Cricetulus griseus: one gene and its partner. The protein of the gene in region 1 purifies or fractionates together with the protein of each later gene. This does not show direct contact. Links are inferred from orthologs where the notes say so. Each region holds a gene or a part of one and is shown in the gene's direction. Other genes may lie near its edges. The genes, in order: Nod2 and Ripk2.

Region 1 (4,377 bases):
CCCACATGGCAGCTCACAACTGACTGTAACGCCAGTTCCAGGGGATATGACACCTTCACACTGATGCACAATAAATAAAATTTAAATAAATCATTAAAAATAACATTAAGAATAGGAAGTTATAAAATCAAATGAATGCAATAGAAACAAAACAACACTATTGAATTCTGATTAGGATGATGGTAGAGCCCAGCACTGTGTGGGAGGCAAGTGCTAATATGCTGTGACCTCCTCTCCTCAGCTTGCATGGGACTGACGGCCAAGGGGAAGAGAGTAACTTTAAAGTCCTAGTAAGTCTCCACCCAGCACAGCCATCTGGGAATGCAACCATCAAGACTAAAGGGCTTACAGATCCCTGGGAGGGTGCATCGGTTCCTGCTGACAGGGAGGGCTTTCCTGTCTCTTGTTCTCGGGACTCTATGGTTCCCTCCTAATTGGAAGGTGGCCCAGAAAGCCGGCCACACAAGGGCAGGATACACTGCACCGCAGGCAGGCTTCTTCCAAGATACCTGTCTTACCACCTGTCCCCAGAGGGAAATCAGGAGGGGTGTGGCCGCCCTTCCGAATCCGCCACAGTGGGCGGGGTCACTGGCTAAGTAGGTGGAACGACGGGCGGGGCAAGATCACGGAGGGAGTCACCACCAGGCGGGCGGAGGAACCCCGCGCTGCAGCTGGCGGTGAGTGCTTGCCTGCTGCTTCTGTGGTCTGCGGGTGCTCGGGGTGGTGGGTGGGTGGGTGAAAAGAGGTTTTCTGGGGGCAGACTTAGTGCTCCGGGGGGGGGGAGGGGTCGGGCTCGGTGTGGTGGAGAACACGAGCGCCTAATGTCCCATCCCTATGATGGTGTTAACTGGCTCTGCGCTTCCTTCCAGAAGGAACTGTTTCCCTGTGGAATCATCAGCAGAATAGATAGGCTGTAGAAGGAAAGGGGCTTCTCGAGAGGGGACCCGTGTCAGACTGTGGTCACTGAAGATGAAGAGGTTTAGGGCACGGGAAGCCCATTGAGGCCCCAGGATCCTTTGAAGTCTAAGGGGAGGCTGAGGTTTGGGGGTGGCTGGGACAGTGGAGGTGAAAACTTGCAGGTGAGGTCCTTACCCAGAAGGAGGAAATCCTGCTTTGGGTCGCAGGAGGAGCCATTCCTGGCACAGTTGTCCCCTCTCCGTGGGCCTCAGTTTCTCTGTCTTTGGTCTTCAGAGACCCCAGCTGCTGCTCCCTGATCCTTGCAGGTGTCTCCTGCCTGTCCTTACTCATTTGTAAGTGTGGGAGCTGGGGCCAAAAGCTGTTTCTGCCTGGAGAGACCCACGGCCACCTGCCCAGTGCCAGCTCAGCTTTCAAGCTTGATCCTCTCTTATGCTTCTCAAGTCATTGGTGCCTCTATGTCTGGACAAGCTAGCTCCCAAGCCTCTGGGTAGGTCTGTAGCTGGTTGAAACTCTCATGGCTGTTTTTTTTTTTTTTTTTTTTTTTTTTTTTTTGTTGTTGTTCTTTTTTTTCAGATCCTGCAGGGTCCTGGCCTGGGGCAGGCTGTTGGCTTTCCTGCCCTAGGGGGAGTATGATCTCCCCCTAGGGCCAGGGTTCTGCAGGGTCAGAAAAGCTGGCTCCATCAGCCACCTCTGCCCAATTGGGGAAAAGACCAAGTGACAGCTCTGTTGCTTCTCTTCCAGTCAGTCTGTTGTGAGGCTATTGGAGGCCCTGGTTTCTTGGCCATTTGATGCCAGGTGGTCTCCACATGCAGCTCCAAGCTGGCACTGGCCCACACTTTGCCCCTCTCTCTCACCCAGGTCAGCACTCACTGTGGCCCAGTGAGCAGGCACTTCCTACTAGCCCATTGGCTAAAGTCTGTGCCTTGTAATGGCTACTCTCTGGTTCCACAGCTACCTCCCCAAGCTGTGTGGAATAAAGACATTCTCATTCATTCAGACCAGTCTATTCACAGGGTGAGGCACAGGGTCCAGAGAGGAGCTCCAGCAGTGTATCATGATAATGCTTGCCATGGCAGATGATGAAAAGGACTGTGGGGAGAAAATGCTGGGACAGGGCTTGGGGACCACAGTTCTACATAGCATAGGAAGGCCCCTCTGAGACAGTGGCCACTGAACAAAATCTTAAGGAGGTGATGGGCAAGTCATGTGACTATCTGTGGGACAGAGAGTGCCCTGTGAGCATAAAGCTTAGGCAAAGGCAGGAGCACCACAGACCAGAGCAGGCTCCCTTGTTCTGAGAGTGAGGAAGCAGGTGAGGGGCTACAGCAGGGTGGGAGTCAATGGAGGCTAGGAGGAAAGGGGTGGAAGTTGAGGTCTCTTGTATTGAGCTTGAGGTTGCTATAAAGGCTTTTGGCTTTCGCTTTGACTATGATGAGATCCACTAGTGGGCTGGGCTGTGAACAGATAAGGTCTCTGCTCTGACTTAAGATCTGGCAGGTTCATCTAGTTGTGTGACTAACATTGACCTATAGGGGGTCATGGCAGATGAAGGAACCATGAGAAGGCTTCAGGGCTTATGTTGTGGTATAGAGAGAGGTGGAGAGAGAAACTGTGGCTTTCAGATTTGGGGTCTGTTGAAGGCTGGGTGGATGGTCTGTGATGCCCGAGAGCGGCAGAGTCAAGGATGACTCTGGCAGTTTGGGGCCACTTTCAGTTGAGAAAGGAGCTAGCTGTTAGGAGGAAGGTCCAGTGATTGAGTTGTTTGGAGATGCTGGTAGGTACCACATGATGTTGAATGTTGTCCAGAACTGTCAGTGACATTTCAGGCATCACTGCCACATAGTTGGGAATTTAAGCCTGTGGGGAGGTGGGCTTATGTGGGGAGAGAGTGGCTCAGAGAAGTGGCAGTGATTCAGTTCGGCGGCAGTACAGAGGTGTGTTATCAGCCTTGGAGGCAGAATGGCTAGAAAGAGTAGCTAGCATGTGGGAAGGAAGGTCAGAGAAATCCTTCATGGCCTCAAGAGACGTGCTCCAGGGAGGAGAGTGAACAGGTAGAACAAAAGTCCTTGTCAGAAAGGAAGACCAGGAACAGAAGGCCAAATACTGGAAGTCATGGTTTGCATTTTCACTTGTAATGGTTGTGGGGTGGGGGGGAAGGATGAAGGGAGGACTGGGAAGTTCAGGCCTAGACAAGGGAGGGCAGAAATGAAGGATGAATTAGTTTGTTTGTTCTATGATGGGAACTGATGTCCTGGGGAGCAACTCAGTGGAGATGGAGAGTGGGGTTAGTGCCCCAGGGAAAGCTTGGCCAGCCAGGACCAGGACACTCTTCTGGGGACCTCCCTTCCTCTCCCATCTGCTGGAGGCCTGGGACACTGCAAGGATTGTTCAGCTCTCAAACAAATCCTCAGCTGGGAACTTCAAGGAAAACCAGGCTGCCTATGATCCTGGGAAGGAAGGAGGTGCTGGGGCACAGGCGTGTGCATGAGCACGTGTGTGTGTGTGTGTGTGTGTGTGTGTGTGTGTGTGTGTGTGTTTGGGGGCTTGGGGATGAGAGGGGCTTTTTTTCATTTTTATTTTTACTTTTAATTTTTTTTGGTTTTTTGAGACAGGGTTTCTCTGCGGCTTTGGAGGCTGTCCTGGAACTAGCTCTTGTAGGCTCACTTCAAACTCACAGAGATCTGCTTGCCTCTGCCTCCTGAGTGCTGGGATTAAAGGCATGTGCCACCACCACCTGGCTGAGAGGGGCCTCTGTAGATACCCTTGACCCTCTGTTTCAGCAAGCTGGTGCCCCCTTTGTTTGGGTTCCGTCTTGCAGAGCCTAAGAGTGACTCCAAGGTGGCCCTAGCTGGATAGAGAAGAAAAGGCAGGGAAGCAGAACAGCCTGTTTAACCTGGAGAGGACGAGTCTGACTGAGTAGGAAGGTGCAGGAACAGGATACTAGACCAGCTTTTATGAAACAGGTGACAAGAGCATCTATCGTTTTGCTTTTTCTTCCAAATTTAGCCGAACAAGATAAACTAATGAAGGACTCCTCAGCTGGTCAGGACGATAGTATCAACCCCAGGTCTTCTTTTCCAGCTGCTTAAGATGAGATAGAAAGATGGCCTACTCAGAGGCAGGGGACTGGCAGAATAGGTCTGTGGGGCTATGCCTTGCTTTGTGGTATGCAGGAGACTGGCAAGATGGGACTTTCCAGCTGTGGATGGAGGCAGAGCACCGAGCCACACGGCTTTCCTGCCTCACCCTGCCTGTGTCCACAGGACTGACGTCATTGTCTGGGTGTGTATGGTTTGGGTATCTGGCCAGCTCTTGGAATATCTGGAGAGAGCTCCTGCTCTCTCCCAGTTGTTTCTATCCTGGGCAAGCACATTTATTGGAGACATCTCACATCCCTAGGGTCTTTGACTGAAAGCCAGTGCAGATGTCCCAGGCTTTGTGCCAGGACTGCCAAGAACT
Region 2 (4,548 bases), on another chromosome or scaffold:
TTTAATTTATGTATTTGTGCCGAAAATATTTTCCATATGTATATCATGTAGTCCTAGTTGAGAATCTATAATTATATATAGTTCAATGTCATATGTAAGTACATATTTTTAAATTTTTATTTTGTGTATCTATTTATTTAGGTTGTTTTGTTTGTTTGCTGAGACAGGGTTTCTCTGTGCAGTCTTGTCTGTCCTGGAACTCACTCTGAAGACCAGGGTGGCTTCTAGCTCAGAGATATCTCTGCCTGCCAGAGTGCTAGGTTAAAAGTGTACACTACTACCACCTAGCTCAAAGTTTTATTTTTATTTATGTGTATGCAAACTGCAAAAGCCAGAAGAGGGGTCAGAGACCCTGGAGCTGGAGGTACAGGCAGCTGTGAGTCACCAGATGTAAGGCCAATAGCAAAACTCCATCCTCTGCAAGAACTGCCAAGCCTTTTAATGGCTGGGCCGTGTCTCCAGCCCAAGAACACATACTTCTAAACTGTAGACTTGTAAAACTATGAAGAACTAAAGTTTAGGAAAGAATGTGTGGATGATATATATATTTTACACTATTCATAAAAGGGACACAATTACAGAGTTTAGTATCCAGGTAGGGATAGGATTACAGAACTAAATGGCACACAAATATGAGGTACTAAATTTGTGCCAAACATCCCACTGAACAGTCATCTAAGTAGAAAGGTGTTTTAAGTAAAAAGATGGAATAGTGATTGGGTTTTGGTAGTCTTTTTTGTTTGTGTGGGGTTTTGTTGTTATTTTGGAGTGTTTTGTTTTGTTTTTGTTTTAGATAGCAGCCTTCCCAAACACAAGAAATGGTGGTTTTTCAATTTGTCCGTAGGCTTTGGAGAATAAAAACAGCAAGTTTCCTGGTAGAGGAGCATGTCACAGGGGCTAAACACCTCAATTTGTCACACTGTGACAGTGCTTACCTCTCCACCTCACTCCTGAAGTGGTAGTCACCGAGTGCCAGCAGATGGTTATCGCTCAGGAAGTGGGACGATATAGATGTCACCGAGCTCCCCAGCAGGAGTCACCCCCACCCCATCACTTCTGGGGTTTGGAGACTAAGGCAGACACCAGGCCAAAGGAAAATCCGGCGTGGACGCCACTGCAGGGACTTTCCCCAGAGGAAAAGTGCTCCAGGCCTGAGCAGAGCCACAGGGCTGAGAGGGAGGGGGAGCTGAGTCCCCCACTCTGCTGACGTTACCCAGGAGCCTGCTGAGGGAGGAGCCTGCAGAGGGAGGAGCCTGCGGAGGGAGGAGCCTACGGAGAGAGGAGTGGACAGAGGGAGGAGCCTGCAGAGGGAGGGATGGAGGGAGGGGCCTGCAGGGGGAGGAGCCTGCAGAGAGAGGAGCCTGAGGAGAAAGCCAAAAGAAGCAGGCGCCTACGGAGAGAGGAGCCTGCAGAGGGAGCCGCCTGCAGAGGGAGGAGCCTGCGGAGAGAGGAACCTGCGGAGGGAGGAACCTGAGGAGGGAGAAGCGAAAGGAGGAGTCTGCGGAGAGAGGAGTCTGCGGAAGGAGGAGTCTGAGGAGGGAGGGGCCGCGGGTAGAAGAAGTAGGCTGAGGAGATGGGTGGAGGGAGGAAACCGCAGAAAGAGAAGCAGGGGAGGGAGGGGTCCGCGGAGGGAGGAGCGCGGAAGGAGGAGGAGTGCGGAGAAAGGTCCTCCCTGGCGCGGCCGCAGACGGACGGACTCCCAGGGACAGTCGCCCGGCCGGAACTGCAGCGGCCACGCGGGAATGGGCCGCCCGGCGACCTGACGCCGCACTGCACCGGCCACCGCCAGGATCTAGCGGAGCCGCCGCTCAGCTAGAGCCATGAACGGGGACGCCATCTGCAGCGCACTGCCTCCCATCCCCTACCACAAGCTCGCCGATCTGCACTACCTCAGCCGCGGCGCCTCGGGCACCGTGTCGTCGGCACGCCACGCGGATTGGCGCGTGCGAGTGGCCGTGAAGCACCTGCACATCCACACGCCGTTGCTCGACAGGTAGGGTGCAGCCGCGGGGCCCCACGCAGACGCGGGCCCGCACGGCCACAGTCCGGCCACACTGACCGTGATGCGCCAGCTCCCCGCAGCTGCCAGTTCTTATCCCTGGGGCTATCTTGGTCCAAGGGAGAAACTGCCCTGGACGTGCGTCAGAGTTTCCAACTCGCCTCTCCTCCCATCCGAGGTGTCCGCTCTCTCCTCCAAAAACATGCAATCACGGCCACCTCTAAAAGCCTGTTTATTGAACCCGACGTGTGTTGGTACAGTGCATGTGGGCTTAGCTCTATTTTTAGCTAGCTGTTAGCCACAAGAGCCGTGGAACTCATGAAACTGGGCTTTGGAAATGAAATATGTAGTGAGTGCAAAATACACACCAGATTTTGAATATTTAGTACTAAAAAATGTACCAGTGTTTTTATATTAACTACATGTGAAAATATTTTCTAGGGTTGTATGTGTGTTTCACTCCATATTTATCAGTGCTACTCCAGAGCCTGCATGTTTTGCTTTGATCAGATTGGTTTTATCTTGTTTGTGGCTTATTACATGCAGTCATGAAGTTCAGATATCAAACTCTACATTAGCCATTGTTATTCGAGCTCTTACTTTGGAAGTCCTCAAAGGAAGTGTGTGCTTTTTTTTGTAACAGTAAATTGAAATCAAAGATTGTTAAATGGTCAAAATTTGTGAATATAAAAAAATGTGATTGCCTCACATTCTGATATTATTTGAGTCCAGTTTCCACATCAGGAAAAAAAAATAGCCTTGGTTTCTGTTTCCGGGAAACATTGCAACTAAATACCATGGATCTGTGACTGTACGTGTTAGTCAAAGAGTCTGGTCAGTACTCTTGTGTGTTTTCCTTCCGGAATTCATTCAGTTCTTAATGCACTAACATCCGTAGTTGCAACGTTCTCTTCTCCTGCATCTTGAGTGAAAATACAAAATTCATAGCGGCCCCATTGGCCAGAGGCTGTTAATGTCTGGTGTAAGGTCATATCCAGCATCAGAGACCTCTCTTGTCTTCAGCCCAGCTAGAATATTGGACTTTCATCTGCCTGTAGTAGCTTTTATCCCCCCACCATGGGCTAGATCACATTGAAGTTTGGAACACTAAAACTTTCTGTGTACCATGATCCAGATTCAGATACTGGGCCTTATAGTCGGTGGAGCTAGTGCTGGGTAAAGTGTGTTTGTCTGGGATCGACTTTAAAGGGAGGCTGGCTAGAAGCCAATTAAACAAATATTCTGTGGATATGTAGCACTAGTAGACCATTGAGTATACCAAAGTGATTTCTCACTTTGGATTCTGCTTTCCAAGGTTTTTATTTACAAAAGTGTTATGCTTTTTGTGGGCCAAGCGACAAAGATGGTGATGCTTTCCCATTTTCACCAACCACATCATCGTATAATTTCATTGAATTGGATAAAAAATTATCTTTCTAAGACCAACAAAATCCTGTGACCTTACTGCATTTCATTCTTTTCTCTTGTTGCCTAAGATCTTAACAAGTGCATAAGCGTAGGCTTATGCAATTGACTTGGGTGTCTTATTTCCTCACTTATAAAATATGAATTATAAACACGTACGTACGTATATTTGTTGTGCTCTATCTAGTATAGATAAAGTGCCCATTGTTCTTTAAGATGACCTGAGAGGAAAATAAATTTTTGTGACGTGGCATATTATTTTAATGATTAATGAGTCATTCTCTGTAGCCAATGAGTGGGCCTAACATAGCAGACTTCCTACCTTAATGGATAGATGACTCCACTTGGTACCTTAGAGATGGGGTAACTGTTTCCTATTGAAATTTTGAGTTGGGTAATTTTGGTGATATAATCATTGAAACTGTCTTTTACATTTTTAGCTTTTTTTAATCTTTTAGTTTTATTTCCCCCCTTAGTCTTGTTGAAATCTAACCTTATAAACTGTCCAACTTGCTTTCCTGGTCAAACAACAGACTAGGAAAAACACAGACCTTAGAGTACCAGGACTACAATTTGAATCTGACTTTAATCCTGTTGCTTTGTTTGGTTGTGGTCACCAGAGGATCATTTATTTCTCCGACTCTGGGTGTCCCTGTATGTAAAGTGGAGGTAATGGAGCCAGCTTTAGAGAGGCAATTGAACAGTTAGTGTTTATAAAGTGGCTGACAGGAAGGAAGAATACATCAGACTTTTTCATGTGTGTGCGCATGTGTGTTTGTGTTCGTGTATACACACATGTTGTACGTACTGGTCCATGTGCATGATAAGGAAGCCAGGGGTCAACTTCAGGTATTGTTCCTCAGGACCACCATTTATCTCAGGGGCAGGTTAGTGTTTCAGAGTGTTTTATTGTTGTCGACTTTTTTATGTGGATTCTGAGGAATCAAACTCAGATCCTCCTGTTTGTGTAACAACCACTTCACCAGCTGTACTGTCTTCCAACCCCTTGTTTCATACTGTGGACAGGAGGAGGAAAGGGGATCTTATATATGCATGTGGCTGGAACTTCCACAGTGCACTCTCTCTGTGGATGTTTCTCAGTGTCCAGGAATCTTCGGGTTCAT

The links.
Region 2: the proteins of Nod2 (region 1) and Ripk2 purify together in Homo sapiens (affinity purification with western blotting; 12 studies listed by BioGRID and IntAct, with this or other methods). This does not show direct contact. The link is inferred for Cricetulus griseus from reciprocal best matches to the Homo sapiens genes NOD2 and RIPK2.

The regions. Positions count from the first base shown.
Region 1 is NC_048596.1:164,271,117-164,275,493, forward strand, and holds the start of Nod2 (nucleotide-binding oligomerization domain-containing protein 2), read left to right. Parts: upstream 1-1,275; 5' UTR 1,276-1,347; coding exon 1,348-1,405; intron 1,406-3,608; exon of another isoform or gene 3,609-4,200; intron 4,201-4,377. UniProt on the Homo sapiens protein: Pattern recognition receptor (PRR) that detects bacterial peptidoglycan fragments and other danger signals and plays an important role in gastrointestinal immunity.
Region 2 is NC_048595.1:130,017,731-130,022,278, reverse strand, and holds the start of Ripk2 (receptor-interacting serine/threonine-protein kinase 2), read left to right. Parts: upstream 1-1,666; 5' UTR 1,667-1,820; coding exon 1,821-1,993; intron 1,994-4,548.